7 linked regions of the Daphnia pulex genome follow. The protein of the gene in region 4 binds, or shares a complex with, the protein of the main gene of each other region. Links are inferred from orthologs where the notes say so. Each region holds a gene or a part of one and is shown on either strand. Other genes may lie near its edges.

Region 1 (4,049 bases), on a different chromosome or scaffold from region 4:
CATCGTTCGTTCGTTCGTTCGGACTTCGGCGGGAGTCATGAGAAATGACCGAGCGAAAAAAAGCCCCCCCACTGTCCCCCGTAGGGTGGTAGCCTATACGCTTTTCTCGTGAATTGATTGAGCTACGCTGTGTGGGTTCAGTGTACTCTGTACCGAAAAATATCGATGCAAAAATAAAGGGGAACACGCACGTGAAAGGTGTGTACCATTACCGTATTCCCCCTATAGCTCGTGTATTTTTACGATGCCGGTGTATACTTTAATAAATCCCATTGAAAACACACAAAGTTCTTGCCAGACTGACTGGCGCGCCTTGTACTTTCTCATCTCTTTTTCCACTTGAAAAATTTGCATTAGCGTAACGTATCATTAAAATGATAAGAGAGAGAGCTTTCGGCAAACATTTGCATAATGAGAGATTGCCACAGCTGTCTGGGTCACGTAGCAAATTATGTGAGAGGTGCAACAATGAAGACAAAAAGGGTGAAAATCGTTATGAAATTAAACACGAATAGCACATTTGTTTTTATTTAAAAACCAAGTCGAGTTATTTTGTGATTACAAGTTGCGCACATCTCCCGTGTATTCGCAAATGTCGTCGTAGTCTAGTTGGAAAACTTCATCGCGATCCGGTAGAATCTGGACGGTGGCCGTGTATCGTTCCTTGTCCCTTTCAATCACTTGGCAGACCTTTTTATTAAAAAATAAACAAGTTAACAAAAACAACATGTGTGTAAATTTCAGCTAACAACCTGTCCTTTTCGTTTGCCCTTGACGACCATGACGTAAGCGGGATCGCTACGCGGAATGACAGTTTCCAATTTAGAAATGTTGACGTTTTCCAAAAGTTTCCCGTTTTCGGCTTTGCAAATGCAATGATTCTTGGAAATCACGTCCACCACAACCATCTGGAATTCATACCAATCGGCGTGAGAGAAATTCATCTTTTATTTTTAGGACATTTTTATTTACTTTCTGTTTGTAGAATTGGCCGTCCTTGAATGAAGAATCGACGCAGCGGACTCGCAAGAGTGGGTGAAGCCAAGGTTCTCGTTTCTCGTCAGAACCTTTCGACGACCGATTTTTAGAACGAGATTCTTTCTTCTCATCACGGCGCTCCCGACTGCCACTCCGACGACTACCTTTTTTAAAATAAAAGGAAAAAATTATTATAGTGGAATTTCATTACAAACTGATTAATTAACAACGGGAAATTCTGACGGTACGGGCTGGGCGGCTGGCACGAGAACGCCAATGATAAATGTAGGAAAGCGTGACCTTGGGTAGGAGGAGCTAGACAGGACAATCTATCACTACTTACGATGGCTAGGACTATGCTTCCGTTTCTTTCTGCTCTCGCGATCATTTCTTTCCTTCTCGTTTCGCTCCTTGTCCTGTTTCGTTTTGTACTCGTCGTATTTTTCCTTGTCTGAGAATTAAAAGAAAGATGATTAATTTCAAGAAGAAATTTGGCTTGAAATAGATTTAATTTACTCAGAATCCTGGCGGAATCACGATATTCTTTAGCAGAAACTGGTTTCAGAAAGAGCTCGCTCATTTCCAATTCGTTGCTTCCGACAGCCATCCGCACCAGAGCACGACCAGTGTTTGCGTCCATGCTAAGAACCTGATGAAACAAATTTAGTTATAATTTAATGGCAGATTTTAATAGAATTTTTACTTACTTGTCCATATAAACCTTGATGTTTCCCGCTGAGCAACTGTACATTTGCACCGATAATCACTTTGAGCTCTTCTTCGCCTTCTTTTGGCTTTGTTAAAGCTTTAGCTGCATTTTCTAAAACAGTACGGTCAGCCCCAAGACCAAGTCCTTTAGGCCTAAGTTTCACCTCCATGGGAGCAGCCACTCTTGATTGAATAAAAGATAATTTGATGAGAATTCAGAACCATTAATTAATGTGAAATATGGCAATGATACCCTTTTCTAGAGAGACCGATACCCTCTGAGGCTTTCCAACCCATTCCTCTCAACATGGCCATTCCATAGGCTTCCACTGGGATCGCTTCATAATCATCAAGTGTGGACTAGAGAGAAATGTCAAGAGTTAATTACATAATTAAGGTGCAGTTGCGAAATTCAGTACCTGATCTGCACGGAGGGAAACATCTACTTTTTCATCTGTTTCAAAGCCAGATGGAACACGATTTTGCATAAATAGGGGGATATCAATGTTGGAGGGTACGCCATTGCCTCTGTTCTCCCAGCCATCAACAGCCTTCAGTGTTTCTTGCAGGATTTCTTTTTCGGCTTGCTTGTCCAAGTCTGATGCTTCTGTGTTCTCGGTTTTGGTATCACTGCCAGGGGTCCTCCACCGATTCTTTGTTATAAGAGGAATAACCAGTTCCTTTTTGGGTGCTTTTTTGATGGATCTAAATAGAATAATGCAGAAAATGAATGTAAAATTAATATTTTGTGGCGGGAAAAGCAACATACCCATTGATTTTGTTGTGCTCGACAGTTTTGACGAAATCAGTCTCTTCGCGAGTTTCTTGAGTCGTATCCAATAGTTTCGACTGAGTTAATTTCACGTTATCATGTTTCTTTTTTGAACTAAAGGCAAAAGACACACCAGGCTTGGTTTCCGACATAATGACACACGAATACGTTAATATCAAGGATTTCCTTTTCGCTCAGAAGATGTCTTTATGGAAACAACAAAAAAGGTGGGGAGACGCAAGCAGACGAACATTGAAAAATCAAATCAGACAACTGCCGTGCATTCTGCGGTGGTATTATAACTACGCGTAGCTTCTGCATAATTTTCGTGTAATTAAAATATCTAATTAATTCGCTAGGCGAAGGCGATGTTTCGTCGTTTTAATTAAATTGTCTGAAGGAAAAATTCAATTATGTTACTAGGCAACTGCAACTGATTTGATTTCATCCTGCCTGACGCTGATGCCGCCAGGCCACAGCCGCGGTTGCCTCTAGTGCCTACTTGACTTTGATTAAAATGTAACCGAGTACGTAATTAAAAGGAAATGGAGCACGAAGATGAGAAGATGATATCATGGGCTCATTTTGTAACTGCCTGTAGCGTCACGCAATGGAGATGCTCGCATCATATTGACAAAGTTGTAAGGCTTCATCAAAGAATTGAGGTCACTATATATTGATACTGATGCACGTAGACCATTGAAGTGACATAATCATGTGACACAATCAAGTATATTTATTTAATAAAATCGAACGACCGGGGCCTTGATTTTTTTGTAGGCTGGTTCCGAAATTGACCAATCGTAACCTTCGGTGTAATCTACCAGACACTCGCTAGATGTCTGCATCGGACGAGTCAAGCAGACGACAAAATAAAACTCTAGAACAAAAATATTTACGCATTTACGAGCATCGACGATATTTGTTCATTCCAAAACAACTACGTACTGCCATAGAGTGTTGGGTTTGATTTCGTCATTCACTCCTTCCTCTATGGTACTACTAACACAGTGCTGTGACATAATTCCAACCGTATGTTATTACAAAACACATTTATCCTGACCTGAAATTTATTTGTACCAAGTGTCTTGCTCCCATTTCTAGGAAAAATAGGGTTAAGGTTACTCGACAATTTGTTGCTTAACTTGGAATAGATTGGCTGTTTTCCCAAATAGTAGTTTATTTTTAAAAAAAGATTGATTTCATTTCGTTCAAGGTCTCCATGTAGCCACTGGCCCTATAAAAGGACAACCATTCGAGGTTGTATTAGTAGTAGAATAACCCCAAGAGACGATCTTTCTAGTCTGTAATTTTCCATTACGACGACGACATTTCAAATCTTTTACCAAATTCAGAAGGCCGGCAATTTAAATGTTTTAAAAGTTACCTCCAAGCGTTAAAAAAAGTCCCCGTATACAACAGGTAGTAAAAAAAGAAGAAGGGCGTCGATTTACCCTTTCTTTTCTCAATTAAAAGGGTCATTGACGTTTGTTAACCCCCCTTCGATTTAAAACGGTGAAAAAAAGAGGTCTTTTACGGTCAAGGTCATCGACTGTCGTCCGCCAAACCGAGGAACTGCGTTCGACTTGTT
Region 2 (4,044 bases), on a different chromosome or scaffold from region 4:
GGCACGCTGCTTTTATCCCCGGTTATTTCGTGACCGTTCGTGACCAATCCCGTTTATATTGATCCCACGAAAAATTTTGGAGAATTTTCCTTTACATAACAATTCCTTTACGCGTGCAGACTACTTTGGCTACAATTGACACACAAGTTTATGTTCCAGCAAGCCTAAGTGACATTTGTTTCTGATTTTCAAGCTCGTTGAATCAAAGAGAAATTGGTGAGATTAACAAACAAAGGTGAGTTTTATATGTGCATTTCAAAACTGGAGATCATTTTTAGTTTTTAGTTGAATTTCCTCTCTTTCATGATCTTCTTTGATTCCTCTCTTCTTCGTTTGTTTAAGGGGTTACGGGGATCGTAGATTTCAAACCAATCATCACTTTTTGTATTAGCATCTCGGGCTAACGAAGGATTTTTGTCTTCGAATTTCAACGTGTGATTCAACCTAGAAAGAAATAAAGAAATTCTGCAATTTTCAAATTTATAGGGATAAAAAATTATTTCTCACCATGCATCATCATCGTTTACGTCATCAATATCATCAACGCCTCCTTTCGTTGTCCGAGTTTGGCTAAGCTTACTCTGAAATTTTTTAAGGAAATTAAGGGTTTCAGCTTCTCGGTCCGTGCCTATTCCAAATAGAATATTAAAACTTGTTGATGATATGATGAGGTAACAAATATTTTAAACAATTGATCTATTTACCCTTTCCTCGCCGTGTTGTTTTTATGTCCGCATACTTCTTCTGCTGCTCATGAAAATCTTTAAGTATTTCATTATCTTCTTCACTGTCGCTAATTTTTCTTTTCTTAGATAATTCTTGATCTTGAGGAGTTTCACTTGGGTTTTTCATTTCCCTTTTCAAGTCTCTTATCTGTTCTTTGATTTGCTTTCTAAAAGTAAAGCATTTACTTATGAGCATAACTATCAAGTAATTGTTATGACTTGTTTGTTTCTTACAGTTTGTTGTTTGCTTCAGATTTCTTTTGGTTCGAAATGTCAACATCTACACTTTCAGGTGATACTTCTGGTTGCAAATCAGTTTGAGGCACAACCTTTTCAAATTGCCGTTCAATTTTTGTCGGTTTGTCGCTGAAAATATGACATGGAAATTTTACATATGAATGTAGACCATACACAGTCTTTGAAAATGATCTGACGGCTTGTTCTATTAAACGTACTTATTTGTTAACCCCGTTTCTACGTTGACTGCAGGAACAATGCTAAGTTTAGGGTCGTTAGTCAGTTCATGAGAAGATTTCCCACGAAAAGACTTAGTTGGCTGATGAACATCTGTTTCATCTTCTTCTTCGTCCCCAAAGGAAAGCAGCTGAAGATTCCTACAGAATCAAACACAAGCTCTTATAGCAGTTATAACAATATTACATAGCTGGACTTAATACTTTTTTTTATTTATTTTAGATTTTATTTCCTCTGGTTTCTTGATATTTTCTTGGCTAATCCTTGGTTCAATGTCAGGGAATGGATTAGAAATAACTTCTGTTTTAAAAATTTTAGGTGGATGACGAGGTCTATCTTCCTATAGCGTTTATGATTTTATTGATTTTATTATTTTATTATTTGAGTTTCAAAATTTAAATATACTTACACTATCAATATCCAAGTCATTAAATTTGATCTATGAGAAAGAGAAAAAATTGTACATTAGAATTTCTTGAATAATTTGTTCCCAGCGTAATTAACAAATTGTCAGTTACCATGTTGAACAAAGTATTCCCAGCAACCCTACCAAAAATTGTGTGCTTATTTTGCAGTTCCGGACAAGAACCCAAGGTAAAAAAAAACTGTGATTCATTGTCATTGTTTCCAGTGTTAGCCGTTGCAACCAATCCTTAAAAAGATGTTTGAAATGGTACATTATGTAATAAAAACACAGAAGATGTTTGCTTTACCTCTTCTGACAAATCGTAGACGTGAATGAACTTCGTTCTGAATACCAAAAGATTGTAAAAGGTTAATAAAGACTGAAATAATGAATTCTATTCAAATGAATACTATGTAACCTTGAATGGTTCCCCATAAATACTTTCACCACCATGGCCAGTCCCTAAGAAAAAGGGGTGGTAATTGTTTCAATCAAATATAAATAACAACAGATCACATTATTAAGTTTTACCAGAAGGATCTCCTCCTTGAGCAATAAAATTTGGTACCACTCGGTGAAAAATTGTTCCATTGAAAAATCCTTCAAGGCATAGTTGAACAAAATTTCTGCAAGCCTTTGGACATTCTTTGCTCCACAGTTCTATTTCAATTTCTCCTAGAGAAGTAGTCACAACAACCTAAACAAAAGTTACGTTTTAGCACGTAGTTCAATCAATGATACATGAAAAGAATACAAACTTTTCCATTTGTTGGTGGTTCTTGAACGTATATGTTACTCATTGTTGTAAATCGAGGAGAAAAAGGAAGAAAATCAAAATGAAACTAATTAAAATTCCGTGTTTTGATGTGTATAATGTGCAGAGGTAATGTGTAGCTCGACAAAGCTAGTAGTAGTAGCAATCTAGCATCTATGTCAGTTCTATGTCTAGTTCGGAGTTGTTGGCTGCTAGTTCGAGCGAACTGTGTTTGGTTTTTTTTTAAACAAACAAACCATTTTATCCTTTCGACTCACAGCGCTACTGGTGGCAGACGATTGCAACGCACTGTAAATAAGAGTTGCCTGATACTATGCTGGCCATACTCATACATTTATCGCTCTTGAATTCTGAGTTTCTGACGGAAAAATTCACTTATCTTCAGTCTTATTCGATAACTATCGTTGTATCGTATGGATTTAGTAAAAATAGATTTCCTTATAGGACACACATAGAACTAAGCTCGTGATTTACTGATTTGGAATTTCAAAAAATCTCTCCCAACTATTTCTTTATCACTCATGAAATAATTAGTTAATAAATTCATTTTAATTATTTTTCTCTTAAAATTTGGGATCAGGATTTCAACTGTGATGTCCCAAAACTGAAATCTGCATTTCTGTAAAAAATTAAAAATCTGCTGGATAGCTCCATACCCTTAATTTGATCTAGAAACCCTTTTTCCTCATCTTCCTATTCCTACCGCTATAATATCTCAATTGCGTTTTGTTTTAGGTATAGAAACTGAAAAATCTAAAGTGTGAGGAAAGCCTTTGTATCTTGTTTTCTACTGTGCTAAGAGTATTTTTATTACAATAAATATATTTTAAACATTAGATTTAAAAACTTAAACTTTACCGCGATCAACCTGACAAATTTTCTTTTATGAAATCTGGAATTTTTTTTTTTAATAACCCGACCTACTTTTAGTAGGCAAAGACGAAAATTCAGTTTCTTTTTTGGAAAGTTGTGTATTTTAGCTGAAGGTTATTAATTGACTAAGGAATAGGACAAACCAAGTCATGGATGAAGCTATGACCACAATGTACCAAACAATAAAAGTATGGCCTGCTTTCTCCAAATTCTATTTTCTCCCAATTTGGTAAACGAATCTGCTGCTGCGATACTTATTATTAGCATGTAATTAGCAAGCAACTTTACGGAGGCTTCAGAACAACAACCGCAACAAAATCGAATAGCAAGAGGAAACGCAAGTACCGTGTGAACGTGATGAGGATGAAGCCGGATGAAACGCCTATCGGACGATGACGCGACATGACACACTGAACGTATGGCAGGCTGACAAATTTTAGACTTTTTCACCTATTTTGGGGTTTTTCCGTAACAATCATTGTAAACCTTAAACAAATATATCTGAGACAACCGCGCATACAAATGGGGAGTTTCAGAGGAATTTGCATAATTTTAAATACATCTGAATGGTATTGTTAGTGTTTAAGCGTAATTGATGTGTAAACGGTTGTGAATAGAAAGTATTAGGGCGCATAGTTTGCGTGGCTGCTTCTCCATGGTTGATGAATCTTCGTAAACAGCCATGCAGCGTATAACGTTAGTTTAATAGCGACGTGACCTGGATTTCTTCGGTAAACCATTGGAAATTGCGGAACCTAGGAGAAAGTGAGGAGAGAGCAGAACAAATGAAA
Region 3 (2,277 bases), on a different chromosome or scaffold from region 4:
GAAACTCTGATTTTTCTCGATTTTTTAAAATAGAAAAATAGAGGGAAGAGAATAGGGGAGAACAAAGGGGTCCGGCGGTTTTCCCTCTTCTATTCTTCCCCCGGGCTAGGATTTCGTCCCTGCGCCACCAAAATAAATCGGAATTGTTTTTTAAAAAATCGGGACAAATCAGAGTTTCATTAGAAAAATTTGAAACTTTGTCCAAATGTAGACGACTATGTCGTCTACCGTTGGTAAAAGTTTCAAGTAAAAATTTATTAATTTCAATTTTTTATGATTTTTTAACTAGCATACACTTTAGCTTGGAAACATATGGCGAGCGCGCCGATGTTTCCAAACTTTATGTCTAGCACTTTGGGGATAAAGTTCAATTTACTAAAATCTGAAAAAAATCATGGTGAAAGAAAATTCTTTCCTCACCAAGAAGATTTTTTAAAATTTGCTTTGCGATAACTCAAACGTGAGTTATCGCGAAAAAAGGGAGACACATTGGCCCGTAAGCCGCCGTGTTAGAAGCGCGGAAACACTCGCCGTGTTTCCAAACTTTGTGAGGGTACTGTATATAATATATTTCGTATCCACGGATATAGCTCCTCTGATTTGATCTATTACACCCCGAAGAGCCATCTCATGAAAATCATGGAAAATCAATTTTATAGCCCACGCACAAATAAAATTCCGTGACGGGCTACCGATGTGGTAGCCTTCAAGTCAACTCTCTTTATTTTTCTTTGATACCTATAATAATGTGCCATCATGTTTGTTTGCCCAGATTCAGGTTTCGGTTTTTTGCCCAGTTTTTTTTTTATGGGGGAATTGGAGACTGCGTTATTTTGACAAGATTAAAAGCGTTAATTTGTTTCAAAATTCGCGCAACCTAAACGGATACATCTCCTACATCTAGCGGTAAAGAATTAAACTCCACCGCAGGTTTTATTATAGCCGTTCTAATGTCGCAATAGTTTTTCCGTTCTAGTTTCGTTTCTAAAATATGGACGTTCTAGTGTCGGGTGGGCGTTCTAGTGACGACGACAGTGATAGTGCCACGACAGATGTCGTGGCAATAGACAGTTTCGACCGTATTGCCACGACATGATGTCGTGGCAATAGATTTAACCATCCCAGTCTTAGAAAAGGTTAAAGCCATCTCTGCTTGTCTATGTGAACTAACTGAAGTTTGCCTTATGATCGCTAGGTGGTAGTTTGCAAAAACAAAGCTTCGACTAGTCGACTCGAATCTAGCTTTGAAGTTTTTTTGTTGATTGACTAAACTAAAAACGCAGTTAAAGCCTGTAGAAAGATGGTGTGCGATAAATGTGAGAAAAAACTGGGTAAAGTTATAACTCCAGACCCATGGAAATCAGGAGCTCGAAATACCACAGAAGGTGGTGGTCGCAAGCTCAATGAAAACAAAGCTCTTACTTCTACAAAAAATCGTTTCAACCCATATACACCGAAATTTGAAGGCTGCAGAATATGTAAACAGAAAGTTCATCAAAATGGATCGTATTATTGTAAGTACCAAAGAATTTATAAGAAAAGAAGCTGAATTGAGTCTAACAAAATTACTGTAATTTGGAATTTACAGGTCAACCTTGTGCTTATAAAAAAGGAATCTGTTCGATGTGTGGAAAGAAAATTATTGACACAAAAAGCTACAAACAATCTTCCACTTGATAATCTGTTGTGTTATGTTGTGTTACAATCTTGTCTATGTCTCCTAATCTTTAAGTGAATGTGACATTGAATGGAATATATGAAATTAAGATGCTTGAAACTCTTTTCGTACTCTAGTGCTTTACTCATGTGAAGTTTGAGACCTTACAATCACTGTAATTATCTTGAGTGGTACTATATTAATTTTTGGTATTAAAATTTGTAAATTTTTCATACCTCAAGTATATGCAGAATATTACCAGTAAATTTTCTTTGTAAATTATCTTATGGCATGGCTAATGGATGGATATGTAAATTATACTCTGAACTCCATCCCTTATTTTGTCAGAGGTAATGCTTAAAAGGTTAAGGACCAAAGGTTAATCTCCTTTGAACAATTAAACTTAGACTGAGAATTGTTTTTTTTATGAGCTCAATAATCAATAAACACAGCGAATGATGTCGTTCTATGCAATTTAGCATTAGAATTAAACATGCTGTTTACATATATATACTAATTCCAGAAAATTTGCAGTACTTTTTACTTGTTGGCTAAGTCCATGCTAAGCAATAACAAACAAAAAATATTACTTGTAAGGCGTTATACGATATATTTCGAGA
Region 4 (4,136 bases):
CGACGACGTTCCGCCGACCGGTGTCGAACGGGTGACTTCCTCACGGGCGAACGGCGTGGTGAAGGACGCCGAGGAGAATGATTACGAACAGGTGAACGCCTGGGAGATCTTCGAACGGGCGACCTGCGGACCGGTGACCGACGAACAGGAGATCTGCGGGCTGGGGACCTTCGAACTGGAGATCTCCTAGCGGGAGAGCGGCGAACGGGTGATCGTCTAGCTGGCGAGCGACGAGCGGGAGATCTGCGTGCAGGAGAACGGCGAGCTGGGGAGCGACGAACAGGTGATCGACGTGGAGATCGACGAGGCGAGCGCCTTGCTGGCGATCTGGCAGGTGAGCGACGACGAGGCGGTGGCGACGCCTTGCCTCGATTAGGAGAACGACGCTCCAATGAAGGACGTCGGCCGTCACGACGAGGTGAAGAGCGGGGATTGTCTCCTTCCTTCTTGATCACCCTGTCCTTGTTGGGGCTACGGCTTCTATCTTTGGAAGCTCGTTTGTCAGTACGGTCGTTGCGTTCCTTTTCTCGGTCAGCGCGCCGATCCCGGTCGGCCTTTTTGATTGCTTCCTGGATTCGATCTTGTTCTTCCTGCAAACCAATAAAGACGAAAATGATAGAAACAAAACTAATACCGCGAATTATTTCCGATGGTTGCATACCTTTCTTAATTTGATTTCTTCCTTCTTCTGTGCCATAAAGACCTCCGGAATTCCAGCAGACGATTCTTGGGCAGATAGTAGAAGATCCCACAATTCAGTCATCAGAATCCTGGCATTCTTGCCGTTGAGGAATCCAGTTAAATTGATTTGCATGCGACGAGGGTCAGGGTTCTATAGGTTTTAAGAAAAAAAAAAGACAAATAACAGAAAAATCAAACAACCGAAATGGAAAAGAGATACTTAAGTAAACGGACACAAATAGATTAGGTTTCGGTATGATCTCGGCGGATTAAGCGAGCAATACCTTTCAGGGGTTTGCTCTTTAAAAGGATAAGCTGTTTTACGTAGTTTGTTTTGGTTTGTTATTCTTGCCTGAGAGCTCGACCAGAGTGACAACAGAAAAAAATCTCTTATTTCTTTTTTTCCAATCTGGGCGTTGAGGGAGAACCGAGTTTCCCATCCGTCATAAAAACACCGGCGACTCGGTATCAAAGAGACGACCACGAAGCGAGCGGCACAGGAGTTGTCCTGTCGACTGTACCGCCCAGCTATTGGGTCGTCATCTGACTAGTCCTACTCCTGATGGCTACCCCGGCACCACGATGCGATCGATCAGGTGATTTTTAAAGATGGGATGGTCTGTCGTCATCTATCAGGCAAATCTAGCAGCTTCGACCACGTTAGCGAACGGCACAGGAGTCTTATCTCTGTCGACTGTACCGTCCTGCTTTTTGGGCCGAGACGAAAGGATCTCTTCTTCTCAGCTTCTCAACACGGATTCCTGAGTAGGCCTACTGCGATCAGAGCCCGACTTAACCACACAGGAGTTTTCCCTGTTGTCGACTGTGCGGTTAACTATCAACTGGGGGAGAAGGCGTTGCATTGGCTGGGCGAAAGGCGATCCCAGAATTGCCTCTCATGACTCGATGGTTTAGAACGTGCCGTATTCCATCATTTCGCAGGAGTGAATCCTTCATCGGTCGACTGCGAAACGTTGGAAATCCAAATCCATAGACATCGTGGCCGACGATAAGAGGAATCGTCCACGGAACAGGCCGAAAGGTGAATCAATTCGAAGAGAAGACCTCGAAATAATGCGACCAGGTCTCGGTCGAGAAAGAATCCTTGCATCCATCATGTCAAGGTGGTGTGTGTGACATGGTGACAACAAGGCTTTGATGCAATTCCACATTAAGTCTTCATAACACAGGACCCAAAAGTGTACAAGATATTGAGATGAGCATGAGCACAGACAAAATATAATCAAAGCCATCTGGGTGGTGAAAACTTAAATCATAACTTATCTTTCACATTAAACCAAATTACAAACAAGAACCAGATGCAAAGGAGCTGACGTTCAATCATTCTTAGTATGTGATGGCTATTTCAGCCTGATATTAAAAAAATTGCATAAGATAAACAGCAGAATGATTGGTGAAAAGCTTTGGTGGCAAATGTTTCCCATAAGATAAATCTACACGGCTGAGATTAAAAGGATATTACCTTGTCAGCTTCGAGCTGATTAAAAACATATTCCACCAGGACGTCATCTTCAATTCCTCCCATAAGTTCTGTAATTTTGGTTGTGATCCATGGTTTGATGGTTTCCAACTTAACTTTGCTCATATCCACCTGAATTTTTTAACATGCATTAATGAATATTAACATGTAACTCATATTGATGTTGTTAAAGTTGCACAGGTGATCAATAATTTACCTTTCTAGTCACATTTTCAGCAAATTTGATAGTCTTCAAAAGCTTCTTCTCTTTGTCACTAAATCTATTGTCTTGCTCAGTTGAGGTGCCCTGTTGAAAGAATTCAAATATTACAATGCATCCCATCAGTTAACAAAACAGATTTCACAACTGATGAAGCAAGAATTTTACGACCGAGTTGGCGTGTCGAGATGCTGCAAACAATTCAAGGGAATAATAGTTCTAACTTGGGTAATTATTAACACTTACTCTGAAGAAACCGGCATCAGTCATTGTGAAAGAAAAATACCTCAAATCGAGGTAATTCTATAAAAGTAAAAATAAATGGGAGAATAAAGCCGGGCTAAACTCAAGTCTTAAATGGAGGACCCCTAACTCAATTGATCGCCTTCCCTCTTGTCCCTTCAGTCAGGAAAATGGAAACAGCATTGCCAGTTTAGAAAAATAAATCGACTGCTGCATATGCATAGCGCCAGCTCCTGCCAGCGCTTCTGAAAGAAAAAAAGGACAAAACATATCAAATATGGGTTACGCTACGCATAACTAATTTTCTTCGATGACAAAATCAATTGGACGAATAACGGGAAAATGCCAATCTAAGGTTTCCTCTCAATTTATCGACGCGAAATAATGTATCCCGAAATCATGGCGCGTCCAACCGGTTAATTTGACTATAAGAAAAATGTCGTTTTTTCAGTTGAAGCCAAAATTGCAAGGAACCTGTTTTGTCATTTGATCCTGCGAGTAGGTAGCAAACGGTCACTGCTTATTAAGTAGACTTGAGCTCCTTGAACTCTCTTTGCCTTTATAAAATAACTGTACGACCGGTGCAACTTTGTCCCCAAAGGCTTTTTTTTTTTAAGTGTAATAAGATAACCATCAAAAAGTATAAATCAACCACAGACAGAAATGGTTGAAAAGAAGAAAAAAAAATGAATTAAGAAAATAAAAGGCTTTCTTGTTGGTTGACTGACTACATCCCTTTTAGCTTGAGCTGGCATGCGCGCACCTTTTACGTGACCGCTAGGCTATAAGACGCGGCGGTGTGCACAGGTAAAAAGCGTCTCTTCCTTCCCAAACAAAAAAAACTCCAATCCTCAAGAAAAGGGAAGAAATAAATTAGCAGCAGCAGCAGCAGCAGCGAAAGAAGAAGAAGAAGAGCCCAAAGGTATATAATAATAAAGGTGCATATAGAGGGAAAGAATGTGAATGAAGGAAGAAGAAGAAGAAGAAGGTAAGAAAAAGAGCCCCTGGAGCATAAAGGCAACAAACTGTATTTGAGAAAACCTGGTTGGATGGAATTGGTTAGAGGGGGGATTGGGAGGTAAAGTTGTTGCTTCTTCTTCTTCTTCTTCTTCTTCCCATCTACCAGCAGAGACTGTTTTTCAAGGTGTGCAGTGCCAGTGGGTATTGGCGGAGGCCATGGAACAGAAGCAGAAACCAGGCCTTCTTCCAGGCTGACTCTTTCTGCTGCTGTGTCAATTCTCATTCTCACCTGACGACTGAACATACAACAATCGACATTGCCCTGCTAATTGTGTCAAACAAATTAAACTAATCAAGTGCATTTTACCAATCGATTTCGAGTTAATAGTGCGTGTGTTAGTGTGTGTTGAGTGTCTGGTGCACACCTGAGTCATGGCTTTCTTGTGTCCAGTGAGGATACGCCGAGGCAAGAAGAAAAAAGGTAACAAACTTGTCCAATTTTTCCAGACGTATACCAGGTTGAAAAAAAAGTGTTCAGCAGACGGACTAGAT
Region 5 (3,971 bases), on a different chromosome or scaffold from region 4:
ACCAACGAGTGAGGATACATACCTATAAACAATCAAGCCACAAAATTTAAGAAATTTTCGACACCAATGATTGCTCTTCAATTGGACGTTGAAAATTGGCGCATACATGTTGCAATAACACTTCCGTCTTTATTCAGTTACTGCGTGACATTCGAGCTGACCAAAGTGTCCAAGGCCTGCCACAAAGAGAAAGTGTTCAACTCTCTTACTGACGGTAATTGACTTCCGGAATAATAATATCCGGATGGAAATATCATTTTTCAAAAATTGTGTTTTGATACATTTATTTTATTTTATTCCTTTTCGTGGTTTAGGCGGCGTCGTCTGTGTTCGATGTGAACACAAGGCTACTCGTGACTATTTGGGAGGCCGTTGCGGTGGTCACGGAGTGCCGGGTAGAATTACACGCTGGACATCGCTGACCAACGTCGAGTGCCATGGCAAATGGCTCAGACGTCCGGATGAATCTCACGAGGTTTCCAGCTCGACTTGTTCGTGCGACGAGGACGCTCTGTTAATTTTCGTTTAGGTCTCAACACAAGAGACGCAAACTATAAGGAAACGAACAAGGAAGAAGATCAATTTTAAACAAAATCTCCTTAAATTTGTTATGCTACCACATTAATTATTTCTATTTTTTTTTCTTTGTCTTTCGAATCATTCTTTTTTTTTACCTAAAATATTCGATCTGAGGGTGGTTTAATTAAAAAAAACGCGAATGAAACGAGCGAAAGCTAGAACAAAAAAATTAACTGTCGACCCACCCATCGAGTTTAATGCGAGTGTGAAAATACACAGAAAGGGAAATTTCCATAGAACCAATTTATTCACTTAATCTTTTGTTTGCTGTCAGCTGCCTAGTCTATAGTGGAGTCTAGCAATTATTATGCATTGTTGACTTTCATATCGCTTAGGCTTAGCCGTCTTCTTTGAATGGTTCCTCTTAATTATCTTATCTCGAATCATTTTGAGGCTTTTATGAAGGTCGATCCTGGCCCCCTAGTGGCTGAACGTCCAACGACCAATATTTCATCATTTAATTTGGCCAATGAAATTCTTGATGATGTGATCGTTGGATGTTATTTTTCGTACATAAAATTTTTTTTTAAATGGTAGAACAATTCAATAATCGTTATAAAAAGACAAAAAGTTTAAAAGTTTAAGTCGAGCGGTTGAAGCTTGAAGGGTAAGCAGACGACGTTCAAGACAGTGTGCCAAAACAACAAGTCGGTTTATTAGTCGTTTGGCGTTCTATTCCATAAACTGAAAAAAGTTTGCTCGATTTTAATTTGTGTATTTCACAGAGAACTTTGATACTGTTTTTCTTCATCAAAGCGTGAAAACTATCTGAAAATGGGAAAACGACAACACCAGAAAGATAAAATGCAAGTTCTAAGATATTTCAATTTGAATGATATGTTTAGTATGAAAACACTAACTAGTTTACTATCTTATATTTAGGTACTTGACAAGTACAGAGTGGAGCACATTGTATGGTGGGAAGAAGCCTGTTAATCCAAATAGTGCCAGTGCTTCATTTCGACGACTTCCATATGATCACTGTGCCTTGTCACTTCAGCTTTTTGAGAATCCTTTGTGTGACACTGAAGGAAATGTTTTCGACCTTCTTGCTATAGTTCCATACTTGAAAAAGTATAAAACTAATCCAGTAACAGGAAAAGTAAGTTTTGCTTATGGGTATTGCATGTTTGCTTCATCCGATAAACTTGAACTAGAAAGGCATGTTTATGAGAATTTAATTTTTCTAGCCATTGGAAAGCAAAGCCCTTCTGAGGTTAAATTATCATAAAAATGCTGAAGGGGCATACCATTGCCCTGTATTGTTCAAGCAGTTCACAGACAAATCCCACATTGTGGCCATCAGAACTACTGGAAATGTGTTCTCCTATGAGGCAGTAGAGCAACTCAATCTGAAGCCCAAAAACTGGAAAGAGTTGTTAACAGATGAAACATTTGCTCGTCAAGACATTATCACTCTTCAAGACCCATCTCACCTAGAAAAGTTTAACATCGCTAAATTTTATCATGTAACGCATGACCAAAAAATCGAAAATGAAGGTAATTTGTTGTCTTATTGATTATAGACTTAACAACGCCAATTGATTTGCTTTCATAAATATGATTCTCTCTACTAGAATTAATAAGGGCCAAAACCGATCCTGCAGCCCGTCTCAAATACATCAATGCAGAAACGAAGGGAGTTTTGGCAGAATTAGAACAGGAATACAAGGCACCTGAAGAGACTGTAACTGTAAAAGCAGTAGCTGATTCCATTAATGCGGTAATTTGATTCAGTTAAAGTTTTAAATTTATCCCTTTTATTTATTATTATTTTCGTTTTTATAACTTGTTTATAAAACAAAAAAAAACTATCAGGCTCATTATTCCACCGGGGCTGTCGCTGCTGGTTTTACTTCTACGGTGATGGCACCAGAAACTAAGCATGAACCAGCAATTCTCGATGAAAGTATCGTTCGATATCAGCGCATTAAGAAAAAAGGTTAAAGTAGTTTCTTGTAATGAATTCTTCACAAACCATCTAAATTTGTTTTTATTTCATCAATTTAATTTCTTAGGTTATGTTAGACTAGTTACAAATGTCGGGCCTCTTAATTTAGAGTTACATTGTGAAATGGTACCTAAAACGTGTGAAAATTTCGTCAACCTGTGCAAAAAAGGCTACTACAACAACACCAAGTTTCATCGGTCTATCAAGCATTTCATGGTACTGTAGATCTCAACGTGATCACGGGCTGTTACAGAGATTTCCTAACAAAAATTTTCCAGATTCAAGGTGGCGATCCCACTGGAACTGGTACCGGAGGAGAGTCTTGCTGGGGAGGATCATTTGAAGATGAATTTAAGCCGAATCTATCCCACACCGGTCGGGGTATTTTATCGATGGCGAACTCGGGAACCAACACTAATAAATCTCAGTTGTACGTTTAAATTATCTAGTTCTATGCATACATTACGCATCAATTTGATTATTACTCTTTCAGTTTTATCACCTATCGCTCGTGTAAACATCTGGACGGAAAGCACACAATATTCGGTCGTGTCGTGGGTGGAATGGAAACTTTGAGCGCTATGGAACGAATTGGTACTGACAATAAAGATCGACCCGTAGAAGAGATTATTATTGAGTCGTCACAGATATTTACAGACCCATATGCCGAAGTAGACGAAAAGGTTGCCGAGAAAATCAATTCAACCTTAGAAGCAAAATTTACTTTTGTTTTTACATTTTAGTTGGTGATTGAGAGAGCCGCAGCGCTAGAAGAAGCTGAGAGACAGTTGAAGGAAGCAAAGGCTTCCATCCCTAAAGCCCAGCTTAAGGTTTTCAAACAATCTGGTGTAGGAAAATACATCAACCCTAAAGCTTTCACCAACAAGTATATCTTTAATTTTCTATTAAATAAAATAGTTTCATTGCAGCTTATTATTATTTTTTTTTATAGACCAGCTGATTCGGCTGGAGAAGAATCCGGCAGTTCTCAACATAAAAAAGCTAAAACATCTGCTAACTATTCATTTGGTAATTTCAGTAATTGGTGACCTTCCCGGATATTGGATTATTCTTTGCTTACTTGTGGCTGATTTTTTAAAAATAAACTCTTTCTCGAACACTTGTTCTTATCAAATTGTATGTCATTTTTTTTACTCAATAATTCTGTAGCAATTAAAAATAAAAATCGAAAAAGGGGAAGGAAGGGTTCACAATTTTACTGACTTTTTTTTATATGCGACGGCAACGCAGCATTGTCCTCTCGTCTGCCAAAACGACACACGATGGATGACAAACCGGTAAGCAAACCACATTTATGATAAATAATAATTTGTTAAATTACGCGTTCAATAATCAATGTCTTTTGGTGATTTGTTTTCTAGTTAGCGAAAGCGCTGAAAGATTTACCCTTGAGGGTACAATCAGCCAGCTATCTCGAACG
Region 6 (4,263 bases), on a different chromosome or scaffold from region 4:
AGTTCGTCTCTACATAATTGAAACGTCCCATCCAACGCAACACAAAATTATTAATTAATCTTAAAGAATCTATCAACGAGATAGAAAAACTTACGTCAACCCTCCTAGACCGATGGAAGTAAAGAAATTAATGGCAAATCGAGTGTTGCGAGGATCATCGCGAGGGAAAACTCCTTCAAAATACGGTTGCAAAGTCCTAAAACGAAAATATTAAAAAAATTAAATTGGTGACGTATAACCAAACAAGATGTTTAAAAAATAGTTGGTGCACTGACGGGTCTTTGAGGCGAAGATTTAGCTTGCTGAGACCCATGTACTCTGCCATTTCTTGAAATAAAATTTTAAGAAATATTCTCGAAGAGCTTGTAGTATCTTCTTCAGTTAGTCGAATGTTAGCCATCACTTGCCAACTGATGGCATCTGTGAAAAGTAAATGGGCAAACATTTTGGCTACATTGCGAAGCTTGTTAGTATCCAGCCGATGAATTGTGTCGTATGTATCATGAAATATTTGCTCGAATGGTGGTATGTATGCCTTATTAATCTGGCAAAATCTCTAATACACCGAAAAGAAAATTGATATACTTGAATAGTTTTTTATTTAATAAGAAATCGTACCTGGGCTAAAAGGCCGAAAAATTTTTCATACGTCCTTTGTTGGGTGCAGCAATCCAAGATCATATGGCATAACTCAGTTTCTTGTCCAGGTTTCATTTGCATTTTCATCATTTTATGGGCACATTCATTGTGATCTAAACTGCTCTGAATAGTAAGGTAAATAACGCGTCGAAGAGCAATAAGGTTTGTCTCCGTCTCGTCAACAATATCGCCTTGTTCTAAAAAAACAAAATTAAAAACATACAAATTGAATCGACCCAAGTAAAAGTATATGCTATTCTTACCTTTTGCTTCCTCCTCCGAAGCACTATCTCCATCAGATTCATCATTTTCTTCTCCAGAACCGTCTGATTCGCCCGAATTATCTCCAATAATTTCTGTTTTGACAGCTTGGTACTTTTCTTCGTTGGCTTCATAATCCGGGTCGTGCTTGAAAACATCTACAAAAATACGCGAAACAGTTAGTGGTATCAAAGTGGAGATAGACATATAAAATCTACTATTAACAGTTTAAGAAAAGCACGGAACTTGGGGCTCATTACAGTCAAAGATTATTTTAAAAATAAATAAAAATTTAAGCCCAGTAAACTAACTTGGTAGATTGAGGAATACAGATATTTTTTAAATCCATTAATAGCAACTTATTACTCAACATATCCTGGGGATCCAATTCTTCTTCTTGTATCGACATCAAATGAGTGAATTGATCTTCTTCTTCCACCAAATCCAAATCTTCCACGATAGCAGGGTTGTCCTTAAAGCCATCCTTTCGTACTTGAAACATTACTTCAATCATGTACTTCACGCGTTTGTCTAAGTCAGCTTCGTGTAAAACATGACGGAGGCGATCGAAGACAGCAGTTAATCCTCGAGGGGAGACTTCACCTAACTTTTGACCACATTCTTTCAAAAATCCAACCGCGACTTCAACTGAATCATCAGTTGCATTTTCTAACAGAAGAGTTAAAATTTCTAGAGCCAAAAGCTCATGTGCCTAAAATACCAAGAAAAATTTTCAGTGCATTTGAAAAACAAAACATGAGAGCAAAATTTCAATATTACCACTTGTTGGTTCACCAGATGTGCTATGAATCTTGTCGAACTCATACATATTTGTTTGTCATTTCGACGAAACCCACGGCGAAATTGAAGAATAAGGCGAGATAATAGCAGTTCACCTATGTTAGGAAACTGAAACATCAACAAATGTGATGTGAATTAAATTAAATACATGAATTAATATAAATCACGTTTATACTTTGGAATTGATTAATGCAGCAAGGGCTGCATAGACATGTGTAAATGTTGGTGATGCAGCTTGTGCCTGAATGATGGACCTAGTTAGAAGACCACGTCCCCTAACAATATTTTCTTTGAACAAGGATGTTATAATCAATGGGATATTTGACACATTGACTTTATTGATTAATCCATGAATGGATTTTTTGAGAGCCTCCCAAGATAAACGCTGAAAAGCTAAGCTTGACTTGTCAGTTATTTGGGCTTGCATCATTCTTAACTTGGCAGGAGGAATGTAAGCTCCTCCGGTTCGTGTCAGCACTGGATCCATTTCTTTAACTCTCTTAGGCTCTTTAGTATCCTCTTCATTTAAAGGACCTTGTTCACTAGTTTTTCTGTCATCCTTTTTCAATTGATTTTCTCTTTTTCTTGAATGTTGATCTTGTTCTCTTGAATGTTGTGTGTAGTTATCTCTAGGGCCTTCATCTCCCCAATAGCGTGTGCCTATTTCATAGTTTTTTTTCCTGATAAAAAAATGAATATGAAGTAAATTAATTTGTTACTTGTAACACTTTTGGTACAGTTGTCTACCTTTCTCTTCTGTATTCCTCCTCTGAACTATACCGTCGTTTCCGAATATTGCTATCGGGCTTTGCTGGAGCTTTTTCGTCTCGTTCATCTTCCAAATCATCGTCGACTTCTTCTAAGAAATTTACGGGTAAACCAACAGCTTTGACGACACTTTCCATCTGAAGGATTATTGTGACAGATGAAGGGAAATTAATTTGAAAATATCACTTAACAGATGTTATACTGTTTGGATGAATAGAAAATTGCAATCGCAACACGCTGAGAAACAACTGCTTTTTTACGTTTGCTTCCTTGGCTTAATGCCTATTGCCATATTGCGGTATTGCCGTTTGCTTACAATTCTACCACTAATGCGCCACCTGCGTTTGGGCAGCTTGTTCGATTTCATTGGTTGTCGGCTTGTCGCCTTATGCCTTATCGGGTTTATCGCAAAGGCAGGCAAAGAGACAAACGTGACAAAAAATAAGAATTAAGAATCTTCTTGTAATCAACCACTTCCTCATTAATGAAAATTTGTTTAAAATTTATTGGAAAAGGAATAATTGAATAAATATTCTGCCCCGAGCAGCGAGCAACCATCAAATACTTTTTGGACTTTTTCGATAACTTGTTTAAATTGTTTATCAGCTTTGTGGCAGCGTTAAGCGCTGAGCCTTCTCAGGTCTTCGTATTTCGTGTAGAATTTTTAAAATAGTTACTGGTGAAATCAGAGTTATAAAGGATCGTTAAAAGAATAATTATTTCAATTTTTGAAATATTTTCGCATGTTTTCGCTAGTCCTGCGAGTTCCTAGTTTTAAAATAGGTATTACTAACCGCTATGAAACAATAAAAACAGGCAGCCACGAAGATTTGTTAAAGAGATTTCATACTTTCAATTGAAATTATGTGGTAAAAAATCATTAAGCATTTTTTCTAAAAGTCGAATCCGTCTGAAACCACTGTTTAGAGGAATGAATGAGCTGGCAACATGTCAAAGATGTCAGCGCCCACGGTTTAATAGGGAGGGCGCATTTGACAAGGGGCCTGCCTACCGCTAACATTTGTTTGCCACTCCTCCATGCAGTTTATCCTATGTGTATAGAAGAATTTCAAAAAGCTCCGCGAAGGAGTTCGTGCCTCTTGTGATCGTAGTAAGATAACAAAAAAACAAAAAAAAAAATGCGCAGAGTGCTTGGGATACACTCATCGTGCATCGTGATATGTTCTAATTTTGTATTTGTTTCCTCTTCAGATAAACAATAAAAATTTTAAAACGCCGGAGAGAAGACGTCATGGACGTCGAAGACGAAAATATCAGCACGTTAATGGCCATGGGATTTCCGGACATCGGAGAAATCAAACGAGCTTTACGTTTAGCCAAGAATGATCTAAATGAAGCAGTTGCTATCCTCACCAATGATCAGTCAGTGTCATCTTATGGACCTGTTGCTGACTTAAACATCGATGTTGACATGAAAGAGGTAGCTGGTGTTTCCAAAGGATCCAGCGAAGATGCTTCCGTGTCTGAAGTAAAGCCTATTTCATCTATTATGTCAATGTAAAGCATTTTTCAACACTTACATTTTTATCTCTTAGAGTGGAAATGATGGCTTCCCTGAAACCCACCTGTATGAATTAGAGTCTAGAGTATTTACAGATCAATGGTCTATTCCTTATAAAAAGGATGAAAGTTTGCATAAATGCTTAGCAGCTGCGACAAAACTAATAGAAGAAGGTGGGTTATATCTTGTGAATTTTGTGTTTTTCTATTACACACATTAATTTTTAATCCAATTAAGGTGTTTGGGAGAATGATGAAAACATGCAGAGGTTT
Region 7 (4,080 bases), on a different chromosome or scaffold from region 4:
AAATTTTAAAATTATTAAATCATCACAATGTTCACAGTTAAACCCATATAAATAGCTAAAATACCGCTGGCATATTTTTCTATGTATTTAGAATGCTGATGACTATAAAATCATAAACCCCATGGCTCAAGTTCCATCACTAACAATTGGGGACAAAGTTTTCACTCAGTCGGTAAGAGGGACACTATATGAATATGACACTATAGATATATAAGACCTTCCAGTTCAAATTTCAATGCATAATTTTTACTTCCATCTCCTGTACATTTAGGTAGCTATTTTGGAATATTTAGAAGAATCTTATCCTTTAAAACCCTTATTGCCAAAAGATGGTGTGATTAGATTCAAAGTGAGAGAAATATGTGAAATTATTGGTTCTGGGATTCAACCCTTACAGAATTTGGCTGTACTTAAACAATTTGAAGAATCTAAACAGAAAGATTGGGCTGCTAAGTGGATTTTCAAAGGACTCACTGGTAGGTGAAGATCTTCATGAATATATCAATAAAAAAATTAATAAACTCTAAGAAATATGTGCAAAGTTTATATAAAAACCCAATTTTTTATTACAGCATTAGAAAAAATATTAGAAACTTCCAGTGGAAATTACTGTGTTGGAGATGATGTTACAATGGCTGATTGTTGCCTTATCCCACAACTGTACAATGCAAGGAGGTAAAGACTAAAGTTTCCATGATTCGTTTCATGTTCTCTTTTTCTCACGCTTCGTCTGAATAAGGTTTGATGTGGACGTGGCACAGTTTCCTAATATTGCTCGTGTGGAAAAGAATCTCGAAGTTCTTGAGCCTTTCGTAAAGGCTCACCCGAGCCGACAACCAGATTGCCCGCCTGAACTTTCAGCATGAAAATAAAACAAAAAAATTGATGTGAAATAGTCGGACTTCAGTCCATAGAATAACGATATTAAACGATGATTATAATTTGGTCGATGGGTTGCGAATACGGGAGAATGAATTGCAATGGAACTTGTTATGCTGTTTGATATTTACTGAAAAATAAACAAAATTTGCCATTATCACTTATCAGATATTTGCAATATTTATGTCTTGAAACTATAGAATAAATAGAGTGTATTCCAGTATTCCTGTAAAACTGAAACCTGAAAAGTGCTAAATCCGGTTAAAATCTTTCAAAAAACCTGTTGAAAGCTGGTAAACAATCAATCTGGCAACGTCCGATTCGTCGTCTGTTCGGTTCGTACGAGTCGCGCTCGCGCAACTGCAATCTGCAAGAAGCATCACTTGCTCGTGTCAGTTCAATACTACAGTACCAAGTGTCAGTCATAGACTCATATCTGTTAAAACCTTATTTTATTTTTTTTACAAGTGCTCATTTAAAAAGTAATCTAAAATGGATTCGGGTGGATTCGGTAAACCACAAAAACCTCCTAAAGTTGCCAAGGTTGTAATACTTAAATGTAAGAATGCTCTTGACATTACTTATAACACATTTCTCTTTAGGTTAAAAACAAAACACCGGCAGAAATTCAAATCACTGCTGAGCAGTTGCTTCGGGAAGCTAAGGAACGTGATCTTGAAATTGTTCCACCAGTAAGTGTTTCGGCAATAGATAACAACTTGAAGAACTGAAGTAAGAAATTTTCTATTTTTAGCCCCCTAAACAAAAAATTTCAGATCCCGATGAGTTAGCAGACTACCAGTACAAGAAACGCAAAACCTTTGAAGATGCTCTGCGGCGTAATCGTAATGTTATTACCAACTGGATCAAGTATGCTCAATGGGAAGAAAGCCAAAAAGAAATTCAAAGAGCCAGAAGTGTTTTTGAGCGTGCTCTTGATGTAGACCATCGTAACATTACCCTTTGGCTGAAGGTAATTAATTTTCATTTGTTAAATCTGTGAAATAATAAATATCTAATTTTAAAAAAATTTAGTATTCAGAAATGGAAATGAAAAATAAGCAAGTCAATCATGCCAGAAACTTGTGGGACCGTGCAGTTACAATTTTGCCTAGAGCAAATCAGTTTTGGTATAAATATACCTACATGGAGGAAATGCTGGCCAATATAGCTGGTTGTCGTCAAGTATTTGAAAGGTGGATGGAATGGCAGCCAGATGAACAAGCTTGGCAAACATACATCAATTTTGAATTAAGGTAAATAAATGTAGTAAATACTAACGTTACACTTATCAACGTCCAATTTTTGTCCAATAACTAGGTATAAAGAATTAGATCGTGCTCGCTCAATTTTTGAACGGTTTGTCTATGTGCACCCGGAAGTAAAAAATTGGATCAAGTATGCCAAGTTTGAAGAAAGGAACGGTTACATTATCGGTGCCCGCCAGGTGTATGAACGGTCGGTGGATTTTTATGGTGATGATCACATGGACGAAAGGCTTTTCATAGCCTTTTCCAAGTTTGAAGAGGGCCAAAAAGAACATGAACGAGCAACTGCTATTTACAAATTTGCTCTCGAACACATGTCAAAAGATAAAGCAGCAGAATTGTACAAAGCCTACACAATTCACCAGAAAAAATTTGGAGAGCGTGACGCTATAGAAGACGTTATTGTCAGTAAAAGAAAATTTCAGTATGAACAAGAAATTAAAGAAAATCCATCAAATTATGATGCATGGTTTGATTATTTACGCCTAATGGAAAGTGAAGGTATTTTGACTTACTATCAAATTTTTAAGGAATTGTGTCGAATGTGTATTGTATCTTTAGGTGACGCTGACGTTGAAGTAGTGCGAGATACATACGAAAGAGCTATTGCCAACATCCCGCTAGTAGCTGAGAAGTCCTTTTGGCGTCGTTACATCTATCTGTGGATTAACTATGCACTTTTCGAAGAACTGGAAGCCGAAGATTATGAAAAAACTCGACAGGTCTACGATTCATGTCTTAAGCTCATTCCGCATCGTAACTTCACATTCGCCAAAATGTGGCTCCTTTACGCCCATTTCGAAGTTCGACAGAAAAATCTGCAATTGGCGCGTAAAATTTTAGGTACTGCGATTGGTAAATGTCCAAAGGTAAATATGTTTCAGTATTTTTTCTTTCAAATATGAAATCTAATTAGAGGCCAGTCTATGAACCAGTTTTTAATAAATCTGGTTATTTATAGAACAAGTTGTTCCGTGGATATATTGATTTGGAGATCCAGCTGAGAGAATTTGACCGCTGCAGGACATTGTATGAAAAGTTCCTCCAAAACGGTCCAGAAAATTGCACCACTTGGATGAAATTCGCCGAACTAGAAACTTTACTGGGAGATGTGGATCGTGCTCGCGGCATTTACGAGCTTGCCATCAAGCAGCCTCTACTAGATATGCCAGAAATTCTTTGGAAGGTAAATTAAACTTTAAATATGTGCACAGATCTCATTCCTAATGGAGTTGTGTTTGTTCTTCAGGCTTACATCGATTTTGAAATCGAACAAGAGGAGAATGATAAAGCCCGATCGTTATATGAGAGACTTCTAGAACGCACGCAGCACGTAAAAGTCTGGATGAGTTTTGCTCAATTTGAGCTCACTCTAGCAGCATCTCAGCAGGAGGACCCAAGTTTGCCAGTCGCAGCAGCTAGAGCAGTCTTCCAGCGTGCAAACAAGTTCGCATTTCTTTGCTTTGAACTATTAGCCTCCGTAAATTACCTTCTTAATTCCCCATTATGTTACTAGGTCGCTACGTTCTATAGCTCAGTCAGTCGGTCTTGAAGTGGCTACCAACAAAGAGGAGCGATTGATGTTGTTGGAGGCTTGGCAAGAATTCGAATATGAATATGGAGATGAGGGATCTCGCAATGCGGTTGTTAACTTGATGCCTAGACGTGTGAAGAAGAGGAGGCGGATCCAAACACAAGATGGGGTATGTGATAATATTTTGCGTTTAGATGCAAAATTTTGTGCGTTGCAATGTTTTTTTCTTTTCTTTTTTTTTTTAGACCGATGCTGGTTGGGAAGAGTATTTCGACTACATTTTCCCCGAGGATGAAGCTACTAAACCCAATCTTAAGCTCTTGGCTATGGCCAAAGCTTGGAAAATGGCAAAAGAATCCGCTCCATCAAACCAGGAAGAGGAACTACCCAAAAGCAATG

What was found.
Region 1: serine/arginine repetitive matrix protein 1-like (region 4) and G-patch domain and KOW motifs-containing protein-like share a complex: the UniProt entries of both Homo sapiens proteins name them as parts of the minor spliceosome. The link is inferred for Daphnia pulex from reciprocal best matches to the Homo sapiens genes SRRM1 and GPKOW.
Region 2: serine/arginine repetitive matrix protein 1-like (region 4) and spliceosome-associated protein CWC27 homolog share a complex: the UniProt entries of both Homo sapiens proteins name them as parts of the minor spliceosome. The link is inferred for Daphnia pulex from reciprocal best matches to the Homo sapiens genes SRRM1 and CWC27.
Region 3: serine/arginine repetitive matrix protein 1-like (region 4) and cysteine-rich PDZ-binding protein-like share a complex: the UniProt entries of both Homo sapiens proteins name them as parts of the minor spliceosome. The link is inferred for Daphnia pulex from reciprocal best matches to the Homo sapiens genes SRRM1 and CRIPT.
Region 5: serine/arginine repetitive matrix protein 1-like (region 4) and RING-type E3 ubiquitin-protein ligase PPIL2-like share a complex: the UniProt entries of both Homo sapiens proteins name them as parts of the minor spliceosome. The link is inferred for Daphnia pulex from reciprocal best matches to the Homo sapiens genes SRRM1 and PPIL2.
Region 6: serine/arginine repetitive matrix protein 1-like (region 4) and pre-mRNA-splicing factor CWC22 homolog share a complex: the UniProt entries of both Homo sapiens proteins name them as parts of the minor spliceosome. The link is inferred for Daphnia pulex from reciprocal best matches to the Homo sapiens genes SRRM1 and CWC22.
Region 7: serine/arginine repetitive matrix protein 1-like (region 4) and crooked neck-like protein 1 share a complex: the UniProt entries of both Homo sapiens proteins name them as parts of the minor spliceosome. The link is inferred for Daphnia pulex from reciprocal best matches to the Homo sapiens genes SRRM1 and CRNKL1.

Annotation. Positions count from the first base shown.
Region 1 is NC_060019.1:137,331-141,379, forward strand, and holds G-patch domain and KOW motifs-containing protein-like, read right to left. Parts: upstream 2,708-4,049; 5' UTR 2,611-2,707; coding exon 2,456-2,610; intron 2,392-2,455; coding exon 2,106-2,391; intron 2,047-2,105; coding exon 1,940-2,046; intron 1,870-1,939; coding exon 1,686-1,869; intron 1,628-1,685; coding exon 1,495-1,627; intron 1,430-1,494; coding exon 1,322-1,429; intron 1,143-1,321; coding exon 973-1,142; intron 909-972; coding exon 753-908; intron 691-752; coding exon 559-690; 3' UTR 501-558; downstream 1-500. UniProt on the Homo sapiens protein: RNA-binding protein involved in pre-mRNA splicing. As a component of the minor spliceosome, involved in the splicing of U12-type introns in pre-mRNAs.
Region 2 is NC_060020.1:8,996,305-9,000,348, reverse strand, and holds spliceosome-associated protein CWC27 homolog, read right to left. Parts: upstream 2,801-4,044; 5' UTR 2,406-2,800; coding exon 2,364-2,405; intron 2,303-2,363; coding exon 2,137-2,302; intron 2,068-2,136; coding exon 2,024-2,067; intron 1,950-2,023; coding exon 1,913-1,949; intron 1,852-1,912; coding exon 1,718-1,851; intron 1,639-1,717; coding exon 1,609-1,638; intron 1,540-1,608; coding exon 1,403-1,539; intron 1,340-1,402; coding exon 1,181-1,339; intron 1,092-1,180; coding exon 960-1,091; intron 893-959; coding exon 705-892; intron 629-704; coding exon 508-628; intron 445-507; coding exon 282-444; 3' UTR 237-281; downstream 1-236. UniProt on the Homo sapiens protein: As part of the spliceosome, plays a role in pre-mRNA splicing. Probable inactive PPIase with no peptidyl-prolyl cis-trans isomerase activity. As a component of the minor spliceosome, involved in the splicing of U12-type introns in pre-mRNAs.
Region 3 is NC_060021.1:4,590,447-4,592,723, forward strand, and holds cysteine-rich PDZ-binding protein-like, read left to right. Parts: upstream 1-1,180; 5' UTR 1,181-1,300; coding exon 1,301-1,514; intron 1,515-1,588; coding exon 1,589-1,677; 3' UTR 1,678-1,777; downstream 1,778-2,277. UniProt on the Homo sapiens protein: As a component of the minor spliceosome, involved in the splicing of U12-type introns in pre-mRNAs. Involved in the cytoskeletal anchoring of DLG4 in excitatory synapses.
Region 4 is NC_060027.1:2,460,148-2,464,283, reverse strand, and holds the start of serine/arginine repetitive matrix protein 1-like, read right to left. Parts: upstream 2,801-4,136; 5' UTR 2,652-2,800; coding exon 2,628-2,651; intron 2,469-2,627; coding exon 2,379-2,468; intron 2,294-2,378; coding exon 2,165-2,293; intron 1,852-2,164; exon of another isoform or gene 1,034-1,851; intron 833-1,033; coding exon 662-832; intron 591-661; coding exon 1-590. Other genes in the region: SH3 domain-containing protein Dlish-like, read left to right, coding at 4,017-4,065. UniProt on the Homo sapiens protein: Part of pre- and post-splicing multiprotein mRNP complexes. As a component of the minor spliceosome, involved in the splicing of U12-type introns in pre-mRNAs. Involved in numerous pre-mRNA processing events.
Region 5 is NC_060022.1:781,819-785,789, forward strand, and holds RING-type E3 ubiquitin-protein ligase PPIL2-like, read left to right. Parts: upstream 1-1,171; 5' UTR 1,172-1,353; coding exon 1,354-1,385; intron 1,386-1,461; coding exon 1,462-1,681; intron 1,682-1,769; coding exon 1,770-2,079; intron 2,080-2,156; coding exon 2,157-2,302; intron 2,303-2,397; coding exon 2,398-2,521; intron 2,522-2,597; coding exon 2,598-2,746; intron 2,747-2,808; coding exon 2,809-2,960; intron 2,961-3,023; coding exon 3,024-3,213; intron 3,214-3,273; coding exon 3,274-3,416; intron 3,417-3,482; coding exon 3,483-3,579; 3' UTR 3,580-3,650; downstream 3,651-3,971. Other genes in the region: somatomedin-B and thrombospondin type-1 domain-containing protein-like, read left to right, coding at 1-8, 138-214, 315-529; eIF-2-alpha kinase activator GCN1-like, read left to right, coding at 3,814-3,828, 3,913-3,971. UniProt on the Homo sapiens protein: Has a ubiquitin-protein ligase activity acting as an E3 ubiquitin protein ligase or as an ubiquitin-ubiquitin ligase promoting elongation of ubiquitin chains on substrates.
Region 6 is NC_060018.1:7,249,251-7,253,513, reverse strand, and holds the start of pre-mRNA-splicing factor CWC22 homolog, read right to left. Parts: upstream 2,801-4,263; 5' UTR 2,672-2,800; exon of another isoform or gene 2,607-2,671; coding exon 2,449-2,606; intron 2,382-2,448; coding exon 1,877-2,381; intron 1,810-1,876; coding exon 1,681-1,809; intron 1,613-1,680; coding exon 1,267-1,612; intron 1,059-1,266; coding exon 619-1,058; intron 557-618; coding exon 276-556; intron 197-275; coding exon 95-196; intron 10-94; coding exon 1-9. Other genes in the region: ubiquitin carboxyl-terminal hydrolase 24-like, read left to right, coding at 3,722-3,958, 4,026-4,164, 4,229-4,263. UniProt on the Homo sapiens protein: Required for pre-mRNA splicing as component of the spliceosome. As a component of the minor spliceosome, involved in the splicing of U12-type introns in pre-mRNAs. Promotes exon-junction complex (EJC) assembly.
Region 7 is NC_060026.1:11,199,262-11,203,341, reverse strand, and holds the start of crooked neck-like protein 1, read left to right. Parts: upstream 1-1,280; 5' UTR 1,281-1,371; coding exon 1,372-1,422; exon of another isoform or gene 1,423-1,425; intron 1,426-1,481; coding exon 1,482-1,571; intron 1,572-1,633; coding exon 1,634-1,852; intron 1,853-1,914; coding exon 1,915-2,135; intron 2,136-2,199; coding exon 2,200-2,648; intron 2,649-2,708; coding exon 2,709-3,016; intron 3,017-3,108; coding exon 3,109-3,333; intron 3,334-3,396; coding exon 3,397-3,593; intron 3,594-3,663; coding exon 3,664-3,850; intron 3,851-3,926; coding exon 3,927-4,080. Other genes in the region: probable maleylacetoacetate isomerase 2, read left to right, coding at 92-172, 272-476, 573-675, 740-866. UniProt on the Homo sapiens protein: Involved in pre-mRNA splicing process. As a component of the minor spliceosome, involved in the splicing of U12-type introns in pre-mRNAs.